Cricetulus griseus: one gene and its partner. The protein of the gene in region 1 interacts with the protein of each later gene in a biochemical or structural test. Links are inferred from orthologs where the notes say so. Each region holds a gene or a part of one and is shown in the gene's direction. Other genes may lie near its edges.

The links.
Region 2: the proteins of Klkb1 (region 1) and Kng1 form a complex in vitro, tested with the Homo sapiens proteins (4 studies listed by BioGRID). The link is inferred for Cricetulus griseus from reciprocal best matches to the Homo sapiens genes KLKB1 and KNG1.

What each region holds. Positions count from the first base shown.
Region 1 is NW_023276807.1:41,199,894-41,203,715, forward strand, and holds part of Klkb1 (plasma kallikrein), read left to right. Parts: intron 1-724; coding exon 725-884; intron 885-1,288; coding exon 1,289-1,398; intron 1,399-3,822. UniProt on the Homo sapiens protein: Participates in the surface-dependent activation of blood coagulation. Activates, in a reciprocal reaction, coagulation factor XII/F12 after binding to negatively charged surfaces.
Region 2 is NC_048597.1:65,892,584-65,896,897, reverse strand, and holds the start of Kng1 (kininogen-1), read left to right. Parts: upstream 1-1,469; 5' UTR 1,470-1,557; coding exon 1,558-1,752; intron 1,753-4,314. UniProt on the Homo sapiens protein: Kininogens are inhibitors of thiol proteases.

The sequences.
Region 1 (3,822 bases):
ATAGACTTCAAGTGCTCCTTACATGTTGGCTCAGGGCTTCCTCTGGTTGCCATGGGAGTTCCAAATCAGCCAGATTTACAAGTCGAGAAGGGGCTAGAGGGTGTGGTGGTAGTGGTGATAACAGTGGTAGTGGTAGAATTTAAGGAAATTTTAAAGCAAGAAGGAAAATGGTTTCATCATGCATATAAATAAATTTCCATAGTCTGTAAAAGATTTACCACAGATGTCAGCAGTGAGACCTGCAGTCACAAATCACAATCAGATCCAAGTAGGTGAAGAAGAGAAATAGACACAGATCATGGGTTTTGTTGTAGTTTTTTGTCCCCCTCTCCCCGCCCCCCTCCAAGAAATCAAAGGTACACCAATTCGTCAAATACTTTTAATCTCTGGCACATACTAGCTGGACTGTTATTACTGCCTTGTTTGTTTATCAGTGCCACTGGTAACTTCAATGTGAAACTGTTGTAGTATGCACCTTGCAGGTTAGGAAGCAAAATAACCTGCTTTTAATGCTGGTACAACAGGGGTCAGATAAACACACTGGGGTGTGCTAACACCCAGCAGGGTTTGATAATTTAGATACCCAATAAAAATTTTAAAACCTGCACTTATCAGGGAAGTCACCAAATAGGGGATACTGACCTTCAAAATGGCTCCCACCGAAGAGCAGTTTGGTCTGTCTAGAAAGAAATTTGGCTGAATGTGTCTATGTGTTTCATTTCAGCATGCCACCAAGACATATACGAAGGACTTGATATGAGAGGATCCAACTTCAACATATCTAAGAGTAACAGTATTGAAGAATGCCAGAAATTGTGCACAAACAATATCCACTGCCAATTTTTCACGTATGCTACAAATGCATTTCACAGCCCTGAGTACCGGTGAGTGAGGCTGAATGGTTTCCCCACGAGAACACTCCAGGATTCAACAGCATCCTTCATGAAAAAAAAAGTCTGTTTTTCCTCCAATGAAAGTGCAAAGGGAGTTCAGTCCTGAGCATTTTCCTTATTTACAGACTTAATTTCAATGGCATGGCACCTTTCCCCAAAAGATACTAAACTTCAAAGGTACCCATAGGCTGTGCATGGAATGAAGGTGTAGTGTCAGACAATGATATCTGCCACCCCATTCATACCCTAAACTGCCCTATGCTGAAGGGAAGAGTATCTACTGATTAATAATGGCCCAACCATGCACTGCTGTGGTTATCATTTCAATAGCAATTGTTACCCACACAATTTTATGCACCTTAAGAAACATAACAACATCTTTTGTTGACATTCAGGAACAACTGCCTGCTGAAGCATAGCTCAAGTGGAACACCCACCAGTATAAAGACAATGGATAACTTGGTATCTGGATTCTCGCTGAAGCCCTGTGCCCTTTCAGAGATTGGTAATTCCACCGTGATTGTGATGTGCTAAATGAGAATGCCCAGAAATATACATGAGCCCACTCTCAGGGATATGATGCATTTGGCCAAAGGGTTTGTGTAGATGCAATTAATTATATGGGAAATACATCTTGGAAATAAGAATTCTCTGGATTACCAGAATGTGCTCTATCCAGTCTCAAGAGTCTGAATGTGATAAAGAGGGAAACAGAGGGGTCCAAGTCAGAGGTAAAAAGACTTGAAAGGGTTACATTGCTGCCTTTAAAGGTGAAAGAATCCTAAAGCAAATGGATGCCATGACCTGTCAAAGGAAAGGGGCATGGAACAGATCTCCCTACATGCTCTTCCAGAGGAACAGAGCCAAGCCAACCTTTGGACTGTCACCCAGTCAGACTTACTTTGGCCTTCTGATCTCTAGTACTAAAAGATAATATGTTTATATTGCATAAATCTCTAGTTTTATTGTACATTCCTACAACAACAGCATTAGGAAAGTACAGTGACACTATAGAGAAAACCGTGTCGTTGGTGTCCATATCTGGTGAGAAAGACATATTACCATGAATCAACAAAGGCCTATCATTCCAGACACAGATGTAGCTTCAGTTGAATTATCCAGACAAGCACCATCATATTTAGCTCATCAAGGTGCCAGTGGTGAGATTTACTGAAACCATACCACTTATAGTAAAGAGTGCCAATACTGAATGTTGGCTCTATGCCACGCACTGTATTGGTTCTGAGCTCTGGGATATGACCTCTCTATGAAAAATGGAGAAGCCAAAACAACCTATCTCTCTTCCTATTTGTATTTTTTTTCTCAACATATTCTCTCTATACTGTCCCATTCAGTTGGCTCAAATTTGTTAATTATTTAGTTTTAATTCCCACTTTTCTAGTTTTTGAAAGCTTTTCTACAGGAGATGGGGCCCTTTACTCAAATGTGTTCTGTTCTGTATATCATGCTTATCTTAGACTGCTTGTCTGCAGCCATACCCAAATGCCAAGCCTCTTCTAGCTCATGATTCTGCAGCCCAGGAAGCTAAAGAAGGCGTAGTAGTCATATCTAGCAAGGGCTGTTGTGAGTCTGGGGTCATTCAGAGATTCACTACCAGTCTCACTCAAGTTTTGGTTTTAGTAAAATAGAGACTTTTTATTAAAAAGACTGGCCAGGATCAAACCAGAGAGAGTTCTCTAGGTAAGGCCCAGCTATTGTTAGACAAAGGATTATAAAGACAAAACCCACAGAATTATAAATAAGGGAAACCAAATTAACTAATATCCTGTCTGGGTGTGGGCAAAGCTCCATTTTGTAACAGATAACCAGCAGGTGCCTCAGCCTTCCAAGCAAGCGTTTCATGCAAAACCAGAGCGTAGCAGTTAGCTTGTTCAATCTTATGACCTTGTAGGACTAGCTGAGACAGTGAAATATTTTGTAACAATCAGCTCTTTTATTTATTTATTTTTTTTTAGAATAGCCCAACCATTCCAGGAAGTGGTCCATCTCAGGCAAGCTGACAGGGTACATTCAGGTAGGAGTAACTTCAGCATGGCTTGTGAAAGTTAAAAACAATTCTGGTTTTACAAGGCTAGCACAGGAAATTTATCCTCTGAATATAACACTCGCCACCACAGGACTTTATACTGCATTACAGCATGGTAGAAAAAGGCAGAAAGAATGAATATGTGTGGAAGACAAGGAACACAAGAGGAAGCCTTGGTTTAGAACAACCTGCCCTTGTGGGAACTGATATAGTTCAGAGAGAGCAGGAACTCACTCATACAAGAAAGGTCCGTTCATGTGGGCTATGCCTTCATGACTTCCCCCAGGCCATATCACCCAGCACTGCCCCATCGGACAACAAGCTACACCAGGAGATTTTTGCTGAGGGCAAACCACCCTCCAGTCTTAACAGCACACTGCTGCAAGTATTTTTATGCTCAGGGAAGACGTGACAATATTCTTTTGTTCTGCCTCAAAGTGCTGTCCACAGCCTCAGAGAGTATCCCGCATGCCCAGTCTCAGACTGCCCTGTACTTGCTTTCTTGAGTGCTATGAGTTCTCACATTTCTTCAGTCTGATTAAGTGTCCTTCACAGAGTGATAAAAATCCTGGATATCTCAGAAAATGCCTGTGATTTTTAAGAGGCAGGGCTCTTCACATCCCTTGCATGCCAACCAAAGCCGCAGGAAGGCTGTCTCCGGACCTAAAGGCCTAAATTAAATTTATTAGTCATTACCACACCCTTTTCTCAATTTTATCCACAATGCCTTTAACTTTAGGAAGGAAAAAACAGCATATGGGTAAAACCATATGCTATGGTCACTTAGCAGACCAACCACTTAGACCTACCACTTAGAGTCACACAAATGTCCTACCTATATCCTCCCTTCTTTGAAACGGCTAGCCTCTTACCTCACACAAC
Region 2 (4,314 bases), on another chromosome or scaffold:
GTCATCATATAACCCAATCTTGTTTGTAATTCAAATATATAAAAAATATAAAACTAAAAAAAAAAAGATATTCTGATTTCCAGCCAGGAGGTGGTGGCACACACCTTTAAACCCAGAAGAGGCAGGTGGATCTCTGTGAGTCTGAGGCCAGACTAGTCTACAGAACAAGTTCCAGAACAGCCAAGGCTACACAGAAAAACCCTGTCTCAGAAACAAACAAACAAAAAAAAAAGGTTTCCACATTCTTTGGGTGAAGAAATAGAGATGGGATGGTTAAGACTCTGACTCACAAACACACACATGGGCAGACATAAACTCACACTCATTCACACCCAGACAGGAAACATACACATACACAATTGGCATACATGCACATGCCTGTTCAGTCTCAATCACATAGAAGTTCAGGAGTAGAGGCCAGATTGACATCCATCTAGGATCTCCAGCCAAGGGACTGTTTCTGCCTGCTCCTATAAAGTCACCATTCAACCCATGGTGACAGCACCCCACCTCAGGGCCTCTCAGGCAGGCTCCATTGCAAACTAGAGGTTTCTTTTATTTCTTCTTTCTCTTTTTCTTCTTCCTTCCCTCTGTCCTTCCTTTCTTTTCTTCATTATTATTATTGTGTGTGTTTATACAGAGAGGATGAGAATGTATAAGGCAGCACAAAGCCACAGCCCACATGTAAAGGTCAGAGACCTCTCAGGAGTGGGAGCCTCACCATCCACCTTGGTAAGACAGGTCTCCTTGTTTCTCCTGCTCTCATACTCCAGGCTACCAGCCTGTGAGCTTCCTGGCAATCCTCGTGTCTCCACCTCATGGATCACAGTAGGAATGCCAGGACTACAAATGTGTGCCACCATCCACAGTTTTTTGTCTGACTCCCAGACATCAAACTCAAGTTGTCAGCATGAGGCTCGTGAGGCAAGCACTTTGACCTGCTGGGCTCCTGCTGGCCTCTCCCTTCCCTTGAGCTAGTAGAATTGAGCAGAGAGGCTGGTTTTCAGGTGTGCCAGTGTCCTTTCTGTGCTTGTGCTTTTCAGGAACGCGCCAGAACTGACAGCAGTCTGCTCCTGTACACATTAATATCCCACTAGCAATTCCGTATGGGAGGTGTTTGTACACTGGCCTCATTGTTCACACATGCAGAGACCTTTGCAACCAGTCCAGTAAAGTCACAAGAAGATAACGGGATTGGTTGTTGGTTTTAGCTCCTCTTTTATTGGTTTCTGCTCTAATTTACTGTACAAAGTTGTGCAACGTTTTGGAAACGGGCTCCCTACTCCCACATTCTTTCCAAAGGCAAACGAGCAGGTCAACAACCTCGATGTCGCAATGTTCCAGCCTGAAACCTGCTTGGACAGCGTGCAGAGTTGTATTTGTTCTTTGGGAAGAGGACAAACAGCTTGTGACAGCAGGAATCCAAATAGGTCTCCAGTGGCGAGGCAGGGAGAGACAGGACAGGACAGACCAGAGAAGCTGCTAAAAAGCAGTTTCTAAGCTGGCTTCCAGTCCTTGGCAAAACCATCCCCGCCATTTGGGAGGGAAACTTAAATCATGAAGCTAATTACTATCCTGTTCCTCTGCTCCAGGCTGCTACCGAGTTTAACACAGGGAGAAGTCTCCCAGGAAATTGACTGCAATGACGAGGATGTATTCCTGGCTGTGGATGTGGCTCTGAAGAAGTATAACGCTGGGAACCAAAGCGGCAACCAGTTCATGTTGTACCGAGTGACTGAGGGCACTAAAATGGTGAGTGGCTGCTTAACTGTGAAATTGCTTATAATCTGTGCTCTCTGGCATGGCACTGGAGGACAGGAAGGGACAAGGCATTGTGGGGAATCCAGCAACTTCATCAGCTTGCAACAGGAGAATGCACTGGGTCTGTGAACTCAGTGACCTCCTGCCTAAAGTGGGAGTTGGGTATGGGGATGAATAACGGGAGTAAGAGGAGAGTAAGTGGGAATTATTACCTTGGACCACATGAATACCACCGAGTGTGTGTGGCTGATTCTTTGAGGTTAATAGCAATGTTTCCATTAGTTTTCTTCAGTTTTGGGGGGATGCAGGGAGGCTGGGGCAGGGTGTCATGTAGCTTTAGACTAACCACCAAATTGTTATGGTGATGACCATAAACTTAAACTTTTCATCGTCCTGCCTCCATCTCCCTATAATTACAGGGATGTGCCACCACGTCAGGTTTATGTGGTACCAGAGAATCAAACACAGGACAGACTAGGCAACTACACCCCCAGCCCATTAGGCTAGTTTTTACTATGCTTTCATTTCTGCATTAGTGCACTAAGGTAGGAGACAAATGTAGGCAGGATCCATAAATCTAAGAAAGACAAAATCTTTAAGAGTTTAGAAAAAATTTCTGGGTGATGGTGGCACACGCCTTTAACCCCAGCATTTGGCAGGCAGAGTCAGGTGGATCTCTGACTTCCAGGCCAGCCTGGTCTACAGAGTGAGTTCTAGGACAGCTAAGACTACATAGGGAGACCCTGTCTCAAACAACAAGATTTAAAAAAAAAAAAAAAAAAGTTTAGAGACTGGAGAGATGGCTCAGTGGTTCAGGGCACTGGGTACGCTTGCAGAGGACCTGGGTTCAGTTCCCAGCCCCATGGTAGCTCAAAACCATCTATAACTCTAGTTCCAGGGGATCTGGTAACTCTTTTGGCCACAACTGGCATCAGGCACACATGTAGTACATATACATACCTTCAGGCAAACACACATACACATAAAATAAAAACTTTTTTAAGCTATTAGTAACATTTATTAAAAAAAAGAAAAAAGAAAACCTAGACCCAATTGCATATTTTCCCTGGGTGGAGTTAACTAAGATATGAGAGAGTTCCACACAGTTAACATTGGTTCTCTTTTACTAATCAGAAAGTCTTGTTATAAAATACACAGACAGCTAGCTAATTAGTGTCAAAATTTCATTAATTTTCCAAACTAAGAAACTATGTTTTTTTATTCTTTTTTTGACTTTTTTTTATTTGAATTACAAACAAGATTGAATTACATGACAATCCCAGTTCCCTTCTCCCTCCCTTCCTCCTCTACCACCCCCCTAACTAAAACCCTATCTATCACATATCCTTTCTTCTAATCTACACTTGACTCAACCTTTCTGCTCCCTCATGACCTCTGCATTCTTCCTTTTCTTCCCTTCTCATTCTTGTAGCTCCCTCCCCCCTCTTCCCATATTCTCAATTTGCTCAGGGGATGGTGACCCTTTCCCCTTCTTCAGGGGACAAAGTTTGTCTCTTTTAGGGTCCTCCTTGTTTACTAGTTTCTCTGGCAGTGTGGATTGTAGGCTGGTAATCCCTTACTCTATGTCTAAAATCCACATATGAGTGAGTACATATCATGTTTGTCTTTTTGTGATTGGGTTACCTCGCTCAGAATGGTTTCTTCGAGTTCCATTCATTTTCCTACAAATTTCAAGATTCCATTGGTTTTTTTTTTCTGCTGAGTAGTACTCCATTAAAAAGTGGGGTACAGAACTAAATAGACAATTCTCAATAAAGGTATCTAAAGTGTCTGAAAGACACATAAGAAAGTGTTCAATATCCTTAGCCATCAGGGAAATGCAAATCAAAACAACTCTGAGACACCATCTTACCCCTGTCAGAATGGCTAAAAATCAAAAACACTAATGACAGTTTATGCTGGAGAGGATGTGGAGAAAGTGGAACACTTCTCCACTGCTGGTGGGAGTGCCAACTTGTACAGCCACTTGGGAAATCAGTATGGCAACTCCTCAAGAAAATGGGAATGAGTCTACCACAAGATCCAGCAATTCCACTCCTAGGCATATATCCAAAAGAAGCACATTCATACAACAAAGACATCTGTTCAACGATGTTCATAGCAGCACTATCTGTAATAGCCAGAAACTGGAAGCAGCCTAGATGCCCCTCAACTGAAGAATGGATAAAGAAATTGTGGTACATTTGCACAATGGAGAACTACTCAGCAGAAATAAAACTTTAAAATTGAAAAGCTTTCAAAAAGATAAATAATAAATTTCACTTTCAAAGACTCTTTCTTTGGATAAGTCAAGTTTCTTCAGCAGAAAAACAAAATCCAGTCATTTGATGTGAGGATAAAAAGAAAACCCTAATGGATGTAGACTTATGTGTTTGTTTCCCACAGATAAAACAAAGCCTTTTGTTTCTCTCTCCAGCACGGTGTGAATTCTGCTTCCAGGCACTCTGGGGCCTCAGTCCACTAGTACCTCCACTGGGTGATGGATGGAGTACATGGGTGTTTTGTTGTACAATGTCTGTGTAGTGGGCTTCC